2 linked regions of the Lepisosteus oculatus genome follow. The protein of the gene in region 2 purifies or fractionates together with the protein of the main gene of each other region. This does not show direct contact. Links are inferred from orthologs where the notes say so. Each region holds a gene or a part of one and is shown on either strand. Other genes may lie near its edges.

The links.
Region 1: the proteins of rims1a (region 2) and ERC protein 2 purify together in Homo sapiens (affinity purification with western blotting; 3 studies listed by BioGRID and IntAct, with this or other methods). This does not show direct contact. The link is inferred for Lepisosteus oculatus from reciprocal best matches to the Homo sapiens genes RIMS1 and ERC2.

Annotation. Positions count from the first base shown.
Region 1 is NC_090699.1:64,252,571-64,261,036, reverse strand, and holds the start of ERC protein 2, read left to right. Parts: upstream 1-4,716; 5' UTR 4,717-4,944; intron 4,945-8,466. UniProt on the Homo sapiens protein: Thought to be involved in the organization of the cytomatrix at the nerve terminals active zone (CAZ) which regulates neurotransmitter release. Seems to act together with BSN. May recruit liprin-alpha proteins to the CAZ.
Region 2 is NC_090712.1:11,315,605-11,324,056, reverse strand, and holds the start of rims1a (regulating synaptic membrane exocytosis protein 1), read left to right. Parts: upstream 1-4,972; 5' UTR 4,973-5,435; coding exon 5,436-5,599; intron 5,600-8,452. UniProt on the Homo sapiens protein: Rab effector involved in exocytosis. May act as scaffold protein that regulates neurotransmitter release at the active zone.

The DNA of each region.
Region 1 (8,466 bases), on a different chromosome or scaffold from region 2:
GTGCAGCGCACAATTTTAATTCCTTCTCTTTGGAATCAGTATACTGTATTTTCAGTTTCACTTCATAAAAATATTGGGCTTGCCATTCAACTAAAAATGTTATTTTTATTTCTATAGGTGCTCCAGACTACATTAACAAGCTACAGTTTGCTTTTCATTGTCCTCTGTTGCACTAGGGTTTGCATTTAATATCTTTGATCACAGTTTTACTTATTGTTCTTGTTCTGCTGTGCTTATATAGTAATTTAATTTGCCCTCAATGTTGTAAGGTGCTGGAATACCTTGTAGAGGGAACAGGAGTAATGCAGTGTACAGTACCCACACTGCACTACAGAACATGCAGGGCGCTTTATGCACATACAAGATTTTGTGTTTGCATATGTACCATAATTTGGGGGCTCAGAGAACACACTACACAGCTCCCTGGACAGCAACGAACTCCACTGGGCCAAAAAACTGGGTCCCCACATACGGCACTGTTCTACACAGCCCAGGCTTCAGTGCACTGACCCTAATACACAGAAATAAACTAATAACATGGTGACTCTGAGCAGAATGTAAACTACAAGAGAACAGAACGTGCAAGAAAAGCAAAGATTCTTAATGGGCCTTCATGTTCTACATAAGACAATGTGCAGCACACAGACTATGGTCAGCATTCAAGTATCGCTAGGAGCTTTAACAAATTTTGAAGCCTTTCAAAATGCTACATCATCACTATATTTTCTCCTCTTCATTCCAAACTCTATTGCTCAGATACTGTATATAAGGTTCAAATTTAAGACAACTGTGGACAGCGCTTTAGCAAAGATCATTCACAAATGTCTTCATTGTGACGATAGCCTACCCACACCCTAAACCTGTAGATGTAATTATTGTTTATAACAGTCTAAATAAATGATGAATACTTATAAAAAACGTGAACCTAAACAAGGTTTGGTCGAATTATATAGTGTAAACATCTGGATATTTCTTAACTTGATAAGAAGTTTTTATATACTATTAGATACAGTATAACGTAGTATCTCTTTCAATTCCTTTATTATAATGGCCCTAATGAGTCGCATTTAGTTGGTGGTGTTCTTTATGAAGATGTATAAACCTGAGGCCAGATTGCTAATCTGTACAGTGGTATGGCTAATGTTTTTACATCTTTTTATTTACTGATTTATAAAAGAGCATAGCGGCTACCACAATTAATTAAACTCTATGGTGCTCACATTTTGTGTTCATTTAGTAAGTACTAAGATGTACACTCATTTTGCTGACAAAGCAACTACCAGCAGTTCTCATTAGCCTTATTTGTCATTAAACATGCTTTCTATATTAATTGGCAACTTGGCTGTCTCTGAAACCCCAAGTAAAAGTTGTGGTAAATATGTGCATTTAAAGCTGTGTTGTGTTCACTCCTTAGTTTAGCTGAATTTTGCAGAAAATGACCAGATGCGGCACAGTACAGTACATATTGTTTGGATGGCAAGGACTGCAGTTTAAATTGTCTGTAAGCTTGCATCCGATAGAATCCAATATGAATATAAACAGACTATTGGGTACAGTTTATTTCAGATGCATGAAGTTTATACGAAGAAGATGGGCACTTGATGTTATTCATTAGAAAAATCTAAACTTTTTCAAATGTAATTATTTCCAGCAACACAACATCATAAAATGAGTATTGTATACAGATTCTCTAAAGCAAAAATACCATCAGCTCAGATTTGTTTGTCAAACGCAGTCATGGATTTACTAACAATGCCTAATTAGTCCAACTAATTAAAATCTAATTATACAGATACTAGAATAATTATTTACTGAGGTCATGAATGAAACATACAGTACTTGTGCAAAGTATTTCATATTACTAATCATGAAACTATTGTCATTTATTAATTACAAAGAACCATTGTCCTGACATGTGTGAACAGCATTTTGTGAGTATGATACTGTTCAAACTATTTTTTAAACCAATACAGATTTGATTTCAATAAGCAATGAGCTTAAGAAGAAGCATTTAATAGACACATGCCTTTTCTCTGTTTAATTGAATACAATCTGTCAGGGCTAGCGTTATCTTAGAGGAAACAGTGAAGGAAGAAAGAAGGATCTTAGAAATGTGTACCTTTTCACCACTAATCTATTTTTGTTCACTTTTTGTTTTCTGATACAAATTGTCTAATTAATAGGAACATCTCTCACATTTTCTTGGCAACTCTATAAACCTTAAGAAGAGGTCATTTCCCCTCATGGAGGACCAGATGAAAATGATTGAAGATCTTGTAGTCTTTGCTCTTATGGAGGTGCGCTTACTGAACTCCAAGCAGAATCTCTCTGAGGCGTGCTTTACGCTTCATAAACACTAATGAATTAATGCAGAGATTAAATTTTATTGTGCTGAAAAAATACACAAATGCTTCTTTAAAATCATTAAATAAAAGACTGTACCCTTTAGGTCAAGCTCAGATGGGCAGGGTAGTTGGCACTCCTGACTTGAGCAAGTCAGAGCTCTCACATCCTTGAGCTCCAAGTATACAGGACTGTACTTCATTCATTTTGCTTCAGTTACAACCCCAGCTGGCAAAAATGTACAGGGTAAGTCACTTTCGATTAAAAAAAAATAGCCAAATTAATTGCTAATCGTAATTAAATATTTTTTCTGAATTGGGAGTACCCTGCCCCCCCACACACACTCTCTCACTCAACTGGAAACGTGTAAATTGAACACTACTCCATATAAATTAAAGAATAGATGCCTGAGGCTGAAAGGGAGTTCTGTGGCTGGTTTGTGTTTGTGGCAGATGCCCTCTATAAACCTGTAGCAGATGATGAATCAGTTATAGTGGGCTCATGAGAAAATGAAGATCCATCCCAAGCTCACTATACTGTAGCTGTAAATCACAAGTCACTTCCCTGATTATTGTTAATGAAATGCAGGTTCCTGTCAATTCTGACTCATCTTAGATTATGCTTACCGTAAATCACATTAACGAAACCACATTACATCATTTCGAATGACAAAATCCAAAGAATGGCCCTTCACTTGACGAGACTCTATTTTTTAGCTCTTAATGTACTGTAGTTCCTGGGAAGCTCTGTCAGTGCTTGAAATTCTGGCGTCTGTGACATCTTCCTTCCCCATAGATCCAGGAGTGAGCTATTCTAAAGACTTGGCTGTACCCATTGCTTAATTTAATTATTGTATGTGGCTCATCAGCAAAGAATGAGAAAACACAGAATTCTCACAAACATGTCCTGGAATACAATTAATCTTTTCTTGCTTCTTTCACGTAAGAGGCCTCTGTCTGTTACTTGTTACACTTCCCAATGGCTTCTCCTGCCTCAATTTATTTACTGTGGAAAAAAAAAACCCCATGTACAGTACTTCCAGTAGCAAAACCTACATACAGTGAGCAATCAGGCTTTTCATCTTCAGGCAATCAGTCACACTTGAAATAGCTGCTGTGAGCCTCAGGGAAATATTTTAGGAAAATGGTCCTTAAGCACAGCCAATATGTTTGCAACACTTATCAGCAACGTAGTGAACCATTAGACTAGAGTGATGTATTTTTGTTTATATTGCTCTCACCAGCGACAGTACACACCCAGGGTACTGAAGGGTGGCGTCTGGGCTGTCCCTGTTGAATATATATTTTTAAAGATACAGTGTGATATTTAAGGGATTTTTTTTAATCTGCTTTTTAAATCTTTATTTTCCCAACAGTCTACATGTACTCCGTAAAACAAAAAAACGCAGCTCGCGTGAAAAGTCCAGCCTTTCGTGTCAGCTTTCATACAGCACAGTACGTGCGTGCGAATTGTAACTCTGCCATCGGGGTGATTTGCATCTTTGAAAGTATTTCCTGGTCCATGGGGAAAAGTGACCATTTTTCATTTGAAGAAAGTTATTATTTATGCAAAAGGTACTTGAAAATAAGTCCACCGCAATGAGCCACATCCCTCTCTCGCTCGTCGTGATCTTACTGCGGTTTTTACTGCAACGTACTTTGATGTACTGTACTACGGGGAACTGTAGTAAAGTGTATGTGGTATTTAAAAAGCACCAAAGCTCCCTGAAAGACAAGCAGCAACGACAGGGATATGCTACAGCCTTACACACAGGTATCAGGTCCACAGTGTGTTTGACAGGTGAGAAGACCCCGTCAGGAAACTGCGGCTGTATAGCCAGCAGCTGAAATTGAGCGCAGCGCTAAACGCCTCTTGCAGATGAGCAGACCTCCGGACTAGCGAAGAAAGGTATCGCTCACGTAAAGCGCCGGCTGTGACTCGTTCTCGCAGGACGGGAAATCTCTGAAGGAGAAACGGGCTGGCTGGCCAGGTGGCTGGCGAGGGCTGGGCAGCGGGCGAGCCGAGGCTCTCCCCTCTTGCTCCCTGTCATTGCTTGAGAAAATGTGGAGATCGGCCACTTTCTTCTCCTCCTCCTGATCCCCTCGTTGACCGGCAACATTTTTTTGTTTGCTGTTGTTGTTGAGACCCACACGTGCGTGTTTGGTCATTTCGCGGTGTTACGCCGTCCGGTGCGAAACAGCTGTTTTTTTTTTTGTCTCTGTGTGTGTGTGTGTCTGTCTCTTGTGTCTGTGCGGTCCCTCTGTTGCGCCCAGCGGCAATTGTATCTACTGTATCTGATACGGCATCTGATACAATCGGGATACAGGCGGGGGGCGGGAGCCGGAGGGGTGGGCGGACGGGCTGCCTTCGCGCACTGCAAGGGCTTGGCTCGCTCGGCGCGGTGCGCACAGCACACAGCACGGTACGTACCTGCCTTTATTTCAGCTGCCCCTTTAAAACCGTCTTGTCGCTGCTTCCCCAGTGTGGAGCACAGGAGGGTGTCCGCGGCCCAATGAAAGCGGAGGTCGAGAATGCTGGGAATGTTGAGTCAGGCTGGCAGCCAGTGAAGCCGTGATGGAGAAGAACTGACATTATAAAAGGGTATGAAACATTGCATGCATTTTTTTTTTTTTAGAAAAAATACAATTGCATTAAACGGTCTTGCTAATGCAGCTGCAGTTTATTCGCCGGCCAAGGGAGAGAGATGTCCTTCGCTTGGAAAGACTGCTTTATGCACGGCGGCATGGTGGCTAAATCTGATTTTTTTTTCCCTCTCTCATTGATAATTAGTTTTCTTTCGCATTCTAGGGAATTATTATGTCCTGGCAGAGCACAGAGGGTGGATATTTCAGCAGTGCACACCGGACTAGCTCTTCTGGGGTTACAAAAAAAAAATAGGAGCAAGCCAAGCTGAAAGTAAAAAAAAAATCACACCGGACTGTAGTGCTCTGTGCAGTCGTTATAAATTAGCCGCTTTTATTCTGATTGTAATGCAGCAAAGTAATGTACTGTCCGACTGCACAACTTTGAAATGTTGTTATTTAATAAAGTGTTTACAGGTAGTACTTTTTATTTCACCAGGACGGGCTATATTAGAAACTGCTTGTCGGGGTTGCAGGTTTTAATGTACAACTGTACACCTGGGCTATGAGCGCTTTTAGAGCAGGATAATAAATATGATCGCTTATTCCTGATCGTGTCTGCGATTGTAGCCAATTTTTTCTGTACACGATGCCATGTACTATGCTTTTCTGGAAGACTGCATTTTATGCCAGTCATTTATTAATTACCGTAGCGCAGAGGTAACCATTTCACCCGGCTTTTAACGTTACATGTGCACTTATTACTTCAAGGTTGGTATTAATCATCTTAAGTGATCAGTCTGATTAACAACTACCGTAGGTATATTTTAACGCGTTATTGATTTTTTTTTTAGGCGTTTGCTATCTACTGTATATAAGATAAAGGGGAGAATCTTGTTCTCTCTCAGACTAACTCGATTCTCAAGAATTGACATTTCTGGGTGAATGGCAGGAATATTGGCCAGTCGGGAAACAACCATTCTCCTTATGTGCTCGTAACAGCCAATCGTCCTAGCTAGGAGGAGGGCTTTTCAACATGCGGTTAGGTCTGCTCGCTACTACGAACCTCATTAAATCGGTGCAGGATGCCATTAACCCTTTAAAGGCAAGTGCAATAAATACACTTGTGTCCATAAAGATAATGTCAATTTAAAAAAATACAGAGACAGGGCAGTGGGAAGCTAGCGGATGTACCGGGTCCAAATATTCTTTTTGGGACCATTCCAAATTTTCCTGTAAGATGTCTACGATCGCAAGCAGTAAATCAACGTACAGCGAATGCTTTTTTTTTTTAAAAAAAGGTACATTCTGTAGTTAACAAAAAGACTAGACGGTAGTTGGATTATCGATCTCATTCATCGATCTTTTTTAGGGGCATTTGTCTTGGCCGAATAATATCGTCACATATGACATATAATTCATAACCATTCGGTCATTTATTCAGCTGTACTTTCTTTAAATCGAGGGTGAGCACCTTTTGTCGTGGTAGGTGGAATTTCGTTTATGGCTGTGCTATTCACTGTGTCTGGTTACATCATTGAGTGAGTACATTTCCTCCGCCGGCTTTGCTTTTCCTAGCATGCTCTCCACAGCTGGGAAACCTTGAAGTAAATTATTGTTCAAGATGAACAGACCCCGTTCACTCATCAGCTCATCATCAGTGCCGTAGTCCTAGGCCTTTGTAGAACAAAGATGTCATTTAGAAATGTTGTCCAGTTACAGTTATGCCACCTTTTTCTAAGGGAAATTATATTTAATTGCAGATTACCTTTGGGGAAATTCAGATCTAATGGTAGAGCATACACTGGTAAGGAAGAGGTGACAGCTTAAGTTATTGTATCATTTCTATCATGGGGTTGGCATACAGGATGTGTGGAAAACTGAATTGTTGGCTGCTTAAAATCTGTGTGGAACAGTGTTTATGGTTCTGGACTTATAACTGGAAGGTTGTGGGTTCAAATCCCTGGTTAGATGCTGCACTTGTACCCTTGAGCAAGGCAATGAACATTCTTTCCAGTTAAAATACAATTATGTAAAATGGGGGCATGTGTTAGTTGTCTTTTATAAAAGAACCAGACAGATAAATACGTTGTGCGCACAGTATATACTGTATTAAACATCTGGTTCGTTTGTTCTGGCGGAAAATTGTGTCAGAAATGTCGAAATCGGAATGGTAACTGAGCTGAAGGGTGTAGTTCAGTGAGCACAGCCTTCCTGCTCCAGTGCCCCGAAGTACGCCTCCGAAGCACCCCTCCAGTCTTCCGTCCCCGCGTTTCCAAGATTCCCTTTCACAGTCACAGCTGCATCTCCGCTTCGTGTGCAGTGAAGGGCCCTGGAAACGAGCCCTCGTACTTAGAGGACAATCAGGCAGATTTCTTGAGCACTTTGTGACGGAATGCAATTTTCACCATTTTTGCGAGAGAAAAATCCAAACCGTTTGTTTCTCTGAATTGGTTGCAAGAGGTTTTTCTGACTCACTGGGTCCTGATGGTGACTATATGGGCTTTTGGCTTCTGATTTGTTTTTTGTTTTTTTGCTTCTATATACACATACGCTGTACTGTTATCTTTTCTCCATCAAGAAAAGAAAACATTTGACAGAATTCTAAAAATCTCTTGTGGTCTTGTTTCTCATTGGTGGTGAACCTGTTTAAAAAACAAAAAACCCAAACAGAACAAAACAGTACAAGCCCCCTGTCCTCGGTGGTTCCTAGTTTCTGCCTATGGACCTTGATGGTAATGTACTGTAAGTGATGGAAGAGCTGGGCAGCAGAGATTTGAGCACATCAGCAGCAGCTCTTTAGATCTCCACAGTCTCCGTCTGGAACCCTGGATCTGACCAGTAGACAGTTCCTTAGACAGTAAATAATGTCAATCTAGGGCAGTGGTGCCAGGAGAGGGGTTGAAAGACGCCTAACACAGCACCAGCATCTTTCAGGCTCCGTTTTTTTGTAAGAGGCGGAGATTGAAGTCATTATTTAGTAAGGACGCCGGTGGGGAGCACTGTATATATCTTTCTTTAGAGCAGGAGATATAAAAGAGGCAACTTGTTTTTCTAAAAGTTAACCACGCTGGGGCATGCCTAAAATGTGTATATAAAAAGTCCTTAGCCTCCCACACACTGAGCACACTTTAAGGACTGGGTACCAGTTATAGGATCTAAGAGTGGTCAGGTCTGCTCTCTGAAGGACAGACAGGCTAAGTCAGTCATTCATGGACTAGGAATTTTGGAAGCCGTATTTATATCATTCCAAATATTCTCCTACAAAATTTCGTCAACTACCTTATATACTCTAAAATGTACGTATCCCTACTGGCAACCAGTAACAGCTGATAAAGGTTTTTTTTAATGAAACCTCCAACAGAAAAAAACACACGTTTTTTTGTCTTTTTTGGGATTATTTTCTGAAATCTCCTGAAACCTTTGCTGAATGCTGGTATAACACTGAATTCTTGATGTCCAGGTTTTAGGATCATACTGTAGCTCATCCTTTAACTTGCTCCATTTAGTCATATTCGGTGAGTCTTGATTATTTGTTTTA
Region 2 (8,452 bases):
TCATAAACACAATGAGAATTGCCATTAAAAACCATACTCAACTCCTCCAACATCTACAGTCTCACCCTCAGAAACGGGGGTATGTAAAGACAACAGGTGCTTAATTATACAATTACAAAAGCAAGAGATTGACATCCTACTAGATGTCAATTGCCTCAGTGATTAATTAAAATAGTCATGAAAAGTGTATAAAGTAAATGAAGAAAATATACACTATTACAGTACTTTCACTAGACATGTTTCTGTAACTAAGTTGACTAATCTAAAAATGCTGAATCTGCCAGGAAGTCAATTGTAATGTTTCTTGTCAAACAGTTCAATACATTCATGTGACCAAGCTACCCTTCCCACTATTTGAGTTGTGCTAGCCACGTCACATGACCTGTTGTCATTTTTAGTGATCCGGCTTCATGTAATCGTTACATTCAAATGCCCTCCAGGACTCCTAGCTTTCTCATTGGTCACCTTCCGGAAACAACCCAACATATTCAGGTCTTCCCTGATCTCTCCCTTGTGTCTTACATTGACAGCACTAATATTTTTACTCTTTGGATCTTTGCACTCTTTTACACTAGGCACAGAATGTTCATTTCAAGTTACCTTGACTTATTATGTTCTTATGTATCATTCTGCAATGTCTTGGCTCTCTTGAGCAAAGCAAAAAGATACACAGCTTTTTTTTTGCCTCCTCACATCTCCTCATTTGAGTGCCTTCTGTAAGCCCAGGTTCAGCAAGCTATTCCTGTTTTTCAGAAATGTGATACTCACACACCCTACCAATTGTGCCTAGGACCCATGAGTGGCACACCTCAGTGCATTATCCTTTTAAAGCTGCTCCAGAGCTCACCAGTCCTACAGGCCTGTTAGCTACACAAATGCATTTCTAACAACATCCATTTTCAGGGTTCTGCCTGTCTCTCAATGAGCCTAGATACAGCCTCCTGATTAGTCAGAGATGTGACTAATTCCACGTGAGAATTATTCTCACGGCTCTTTTCCTTCTCGTGGAATTCCATTCTCTCAGAATGCTCCAGACTCAATCAGCCCAGCTGTGTCTCATTCTGCTGCAATTTTCAATTACCAGGCAGCCATCTTGACCCAATGCAACGCCATTAGTCCTGGGGTTTGAGCCAAAATGGTGTCTTCCTCAAGGAGCAACCTCTTAAAACATCACAGCTTCCTAATTAAACAAATTGCATGAATCCTGTTTTGCTATCTGCTAAAAGCTGCTAAGAGCATTAGAACACTAAACATAAAAAACCTCTTGCAAAAAAAGCCATAAATAACAAAACAAAAATGGATGATGCACAATCACAGACTGCAGGGATGTTACGTGATTAGGAATTGCAATTACAGTTTAAGTAATAGCATAAGAAAGGTTAAATATGAACCACTAAAGAGGCCAGATGGGCAGCTAGCTCATTGTAGCCTTTATTCTGTTCTCATCATATTATTTTAACATAGTACTGTATCATATATTTCCCAGACTCAACAGGTCTTTTTACTTCTCTATTGATTTCCTGTTTCTGTCAGCTCTAAATGGTTGTACAAGAAATGTGTTCATGTAGTACAAAGTCGAGATGTATAACAATTTTAAGTTATGGAAGATAAATTGTGTAAAATTTACAAAGATATTTACATAAAATACTGTGATAAGTGTCAAAAAAATAATGCCTGAATACCATCTCAGTGATGACACATCAGAACAGCTATTACAGTTTTTATTATTTTTCAAGTATCTAACTTTGTTTATAGTTTGTTTTTCAGAAAGTTTCTGTTAATAGAACGAAAGACAAAACAGAGGCTTTTTTATGACACACCTATAACAGTACATGAAATGTTTTGACAACAAAGAAAAACTCATTGCTCCTATAAGGATTTTATTATCATAAACAAAATAAAAGCATTAAGACGATCTACAGTATACTTGTGCTACATTGTAAGTGAATGTCTTGCTGCTAGTATTATCCTAAGATTTACTGTTTGTATAATTGTGATGTTTTTGTTTTAAAATCAATAACTAAAAACTTTTGTTTCTAGCCTGAAGTGAAAACACAATTTGAAGAGAGACTACGGGTATTACTATATGCTCTATTGTTTTTTAGCACAATAGAGAATTATCTTTTATAACAACAGAATAGTCATCTTTATTGTGCACATGTGCAATAGTAAAAACAGGACATACATTAATAACACCAGTTCTTAATGTAATTTTAAAAGACAAAATCTTTTAATCTAGTCAGAGTAAAAATATTTACTAGTGTTAGAATTTAAATACATTTTTACCCATGTTATCTACCTTGGAGTTACAAGGAAATTGTGTTTTTTGCATAATGTATAGCAGGCCAATACAACCTTAGTGGCTTTTTTTGCTTTAAAATTGTGTATGTTTGCTTACAAGCAAAGGTTACTACAATAGTTTATTTTGTGCATCTGATTCTTGGATCTAGATTTTTTAAAAACTTTATGCAATTCAGCCATTGTTTCAAATTTTCAATGCTTTGTTATGGTTTTGGGAAGATAGTGTTCAGGAAGTAGAGTTGAATGCAACAGATTATTGGTGTAAGCAAGAGGCTCACAGAGATAAGATGAATCTTCTCTTCCAAAGAACCACAGATCAGCTACAGTATAAGTTCTGTCCATGGTCCTGAATCAATGGTTATTTTATGAAAATTGTAGCAGTTGAAATTGCAACCATGTATAACATCACTGGTAAATGAATAATGTTGTTTGTAATGAGAGCCTGTCATGTGTAGTGCATATTTTAGGACCCTTTGCAGAGTCAGAGAGAGAAAACTGAATTCCTATGCGAATGTAATCCAAATCGTGAGGCTAGAGCAAGGTCGGGGATCAGAAGCAGTAGATCAGAAATCCAAGGGGTCAGAAGAACGAATGAGAAGTCTGAGTAAGTCGCTAACTGGATGTGTAGCTCTGGCTGAGGAAACCTCAATAGTGAGTGAGGACAAGTTGCAGAGTGGGAGTTTAAATAGACAAGGTGAGTGAAGCTCATTAGTGAGTGATCAGGTGCTTGTGGGAATGCAATGGTATCTGCGTGCCTGTGTGCGGTTTGTTTATGGAGCTGTTAAAAAATAGCTTACCCATATAAATTGAAATTTTGGGGATTTCCAATTCCTTTCCAGACTTCCAGCTGTTAAACAGTCTGAGCATCACATGCCTCCACTTTTATTGGAAAATAGCCCCACAAATCACATTCAAATAAAAAAAAAACATTGATGAAAAGCCTACTATCATTTCCAAGTCCATCAGAACCAAATGAGAACAGAATACCAGAATAATCATCCACCCATTTTCTTAATCCAATACAAGGTTGTGTTAAAACAGTTTAACAACAGCTAACAATGAGCACAACTAGGAAACCTGGACAGGATGTAATTACTATAATAATAATAATCTTTAAAAGAAAGCAGCAAAGAGTAATGACTGGGAATATAGCCATTTTACACTATGATGACCTCTACAGCTCTAAGATTCTACAATACAGTTTTGCATTTGACAATGTGGAGAGGTCAGAGGTTATGAAGATTTTTTTGATAGAGCATGTGACTATAACACTAGTTCAAGAGCCATGGCCAAAGAAATTTAAATCAACTGAATTAATCTGTGGATGTTATATTAGACATAGGTCTCTTTTACTTAAAGATCTGTGGATCTCCTACATTCTTTATCACATTATATTCTATCACATGTTCTAATGAATGCAAACATCTAGAAATTGCTGTTGGATTACGATGGCTGTCTTTTTTATGTAGCTACTTCTCCTCAATAACTTTGATAGCTTAACAATGCAGACACAGCTGAGTATTTTTTTAATCAAATCAAGTGATCAATCAAGTTTTCTTGGAAAAAACATAAATCAAACTTATAAAGGAAGTCTGTAGTTCAAGTTTCAAATCTCTGTCAATTGTGTTTTTGGAGAACATTTTTAAGTCAAAGATTCCCGGAAAAACCAACTACAGTATGACTGCCATCGTGTGACTTTTGTCCTTTATTTTGGTGTTGTATCAGCTTTTCATAGCTTTCTAGAACCATTTGACTTTTCCTAAATCTTTGTCTAATAGTATGGGTGGTCAAAAGCCTCATGATTATGATAAATATTAATAAGCATATAATAAGTACACGCGCATAAAAGTAATCTCAATCAGAATTGTAAATCATCCTAATAAAACCATACATATTTACTTTGAATTGATTCAACAGATCCTGCAAATTGTCTTCAGTTTAGATCTGATGATAGACACTGAAATTTTGTTACACGGTAATAATGAAGGAAAATTCAAATGGTGTTTGGGGATTCTTCCAAGCGATCTCTCTCTCTTATCGATTAACTTTCTTAGTTTACTTTCTTTCTTTGAACGTTCACTCTAGTTTCAGGAGATTTGCTGATGTTTAATCGATTATAAATCTCCCTATGCTCAGATGTTTACGTTGATCAAATTCAGTATCTTTACCCTCTTTTTGCTGGAAGCTACGTAGAACATATGAGCGCAGAGCCACATTTTCAAAGTCACACACCCCTCTTTACATACAAGAATGAAAAAAAAATATAACTCATTGTGTTATTACCAGTAAAATACAGATGACAGATGTGCATTAAAGGGAGTGAAACGTGCACATCATTCTTTCAAATTAAGGGCGTGATGCATTGTACTTACCTAAAAAAATATAAGGTATAGTTTTACAATATATTGAACATTTTACAGCAGTGGTGGTTATCAACTACTACTGTAGATACTGCGCCCGTCTTTCAGACAGTGAATTCCCGGTACCAGGACTGCCTCCGGCTCGGATCCTGAATGAACAAGACAGTAGAATAGAAACACGGACGCGCACGGGAAAAGGCTTTGTACTTCCTGCTGAGATTTATTCGTGCACGAGCCCAGAGGGGGTAGGGGGAACCGGGGTGGCAGAGGTGGGAGGTGGGCGCGCCGCCAGCTTGTTCACACGGGGAGAGGTGCGCGTACAAGCAGTCCCATTCTCAAATGTGAGTGCGCGTATTCGTGCATGAGAGGGGTGCGCGCTTGAGGGGCTGCGGTCCCATTGACTGTTCCATCTCCCTGACAGCAGCATCAGCAACAGTAGCAAAGAGCAGAGCAACGTACGGACTCCGCCTAGCCAACATCAAACACCAAACCCGAGCCTAGTGGTAGGGAAATTTCACAGCAACCAAACCCATGCGCCGCTGATTTACTGTGTGTTATCTCCCGATTAAAGATGGGCTACCAGTAATTGGAGGTGGATTTTGGTGGGGTGGGGGAAGTCGAACTGAAAAAAAAAAGCACAATCGTGGGTGCCCGCAACCATGAAAGGCTTGCACTGTTTGCAAGAGCCGCTGCTCTGTCCGTGGACTATATTGTGAGAAGTGGGTTTGTACTCGGGTTTTATTAAGAAAACGGCACGATAAGGAGGGCTATAACATGTCTGCTTCTCTGGGGTCCCACGGCCCTCGCCCACCCACCGCGCCTCCTTCGATGCAAGATCTGCCGGACCTGAGCCATCTGACGGAGGAGGAAAGAAAAATTATAATGGCTGTGATGGTTAGACAGAAGGAAGAAGAGGAAAAAGAAGAAGCCATGTTAAAGTAAGGGAAGATCAGTTCCTTTTAATTAGCGTTGCACTCCAATTCGTGTAAGGTGGCTATGGTCTGTAGAGATAGTGAGATACTGGATTCCAGTCCGCCATCATTTTGGTTATTAAATATTTCCTCAGTCAATTGATTATTACCATTTGTAGTACAATGTTTCAAATTGATCAAATAGTACTAACGTGAAATCTTTTATTATGTGTGTTTGTGTATACAAGGGAAGCAGCATGCCTTTAACAGAGACTGCAATTGTTCAGACTCATTTACTTCTTAGATTGGTAGCAATTTACAAGAAAGGTTAGTTCGTATTAGGTACATGTCAGATAGCTGGGTGCTGTATAGATTCTCCCGACGACATACACGTTGATACACAGGCAGCCTGCTGACAGACCAGTATAATGTAGAAAATGGTTAAGCATCTTAATTAAGTAATCGGTGGACTGTGAGAATAAGATTTGGTCTGAAGAAGAAAAAAAACGCGAGTCGAACATGTCCACAGCTGTCTTCGATCTCGGGGAGGCTAGAGGGGGGCGTGATCAAACAAGAACAAATATAAAACAGATCAGAGTCATAGTCTGTTTCCACCCAACAACTTATCAAAGTCTTTTTTCCCCCTCCTTATACCCCTGTTCTCTCTTACATATGGGGCGCTAACCGGTTTTCTATTGCACACCTCAACGCATTTAGTTAGCAAAGCAGCAGGTCAGAAATGTGAATAGCATAGCATATACAAATAATTAATTACTAATGGTGTTATACAACAAGAGCATGGCCTTTGACATCAGTGACATAAAGGAGAGGTGGCAAAATTCTTTGCGAAACCTCGTTACTTCGCATTGCCCTTTAACAATTGATAAACTGTATTTATATAGTCCAAATTCCCTCGAAGGGGATTCCATATTCGTTTTTCAGCATGCGGGGTGTGGTTAACAATTTTAGAGCTTTGTGTAGGCCAGCACTTTTTCAATACATTTCTTGGACCCGTAAATGAGATAGGTAGCTATAAAGATGAGAAAAATGCAATTTTATCCAGATTTCTAACAATCCTGTTAGTATGTGTGATCCAGTTTCATACAGACTTGCCGATCGTCCATTGTTTCCTGTTTTTTAGGATGCGATCACGATACGCCGCGTTTCATTTGGTGTGAGCTGCCTCCAGTGTTTTTATCATAAAAATTATTTTGCAAGTCATTATGATTAACTGTAACAACCGTATCGTATATTTTTTTTTGTGTTTTGTGTACCTCCAGCACAAAATTGATTTAAACGAGCGCTGTGTAAATTCCATTATTTTTTACGAAAAGGAACAAAATGGGTTCAGACTGTAATCTGTAATGTACAGCAGCCCATTCTATGGTTAAAGAAGTACAATTGCTAGAGAAAGATTTAACAATGCTGTTTGCTTAATTTTAATACCCTTTTAAGATTTTCTCCCCTATTCAATTATTGGTTTAGCCGTAAAATAACGGATGAACAGGTGGTTTAAATATACACTACAGTGTCTTTAAATGTTTAAAACTTGTCTTTAATGTGACGCGTATATGGCAGTTTACTGTGTTTTGGAACTAAAGCAAAAAAATAATAATAAACAGGTTTGGTTGTAATACATAACATCATTTACACGTTTATACAAATGTCTAAGCGTTTCCCACTGAATAATAATTTAAAGTGTTTTTTTTTTCAGTATTGCTCACAATTTTGGTTTTTCTTACTGACTCTTCAGTATGACCCTAATAAATAAACCGGGTAATGTCAGCGTTGTAGAAGCAAAGAACTTCATATACTGAGAAGAATTGTCATATTTCATAGGAAATAAGAGCTCAGTCAATCTGTTGTTTTTATAAAGTAGTTGTTTCTTTGCATTAGTTTAGTTTGCAATAGTATGATCAATTGTCACAGTTGTAGTTAATTTAGCGAGGTAATGAAATTAATAAATATGTCTGCCTATGTTAGACCTGTCTCTTGTGTATTGTGGAAAAAAATACATTTTTGATTAACATTATCTTAAAATTTAAAATTTAATTGAATTTTTACCCTTCCATAAAGGGAAAACCCTTCTCTTTGTGTGTACTGTATCTTTTAAATACTCACCTTTGAGACTACATGTTCTTAAACTTGAATTCTTATCATGCTTGTAAGAGAGTTAAGTATTCGTGTCCTAGAAAATAATACCCAATATTTGTTTTTCTTTTGCTGGTATGAAGAAAAAGATAATTTTGTTCTCCTGAGCTGAAATTTCCTGTTTTTTTCTTCTGATTAGAAAATCTTGAGAATTTCTTCTTGATTTTCTTTTACTTTCATTGTGTTTCTTTTTAATTCAGGTGTCCCTGCTGTTCACTTGTATTCTAATATGACACAGCTGTTATTTGAAAAATATTTACAGGTTGTTGGCTGTTAAAAGTATTTTCATTTCACATTTAGTTATTTTTTTGTATCCAAAACAGACGGTGAAACTTGGAAACTGGTAAATTTCTGATGTCATTATAGTCATAGTATAATTTGCTGTTTTTTATGAGAAATGTAGCCTTTTCTAAATAAATGATGGAACATCTAAGGAAATCAATATTTGGATTCTAATGTACATTAATTCTGTCTATTCCTAATGTTGTAACGATCAACACTGTGTGATTTATTACAAATAATCTGCAAACAACATTCCGGATTAAGTGGTTTGGTAAATCCCCTGTACCTCCTGCAACAGGTGGTTGTACCACCCATTGTTTTGTGTTTCCTCACATTTTCCAGTTGGTACATTTATACAGTAGATAAGGTTAAACTATGTCAGCAACAAACAAAACATCTAAAAATAATGTAAATCTCTCTTTTCATTACTCTGTCAGCATTTATGTC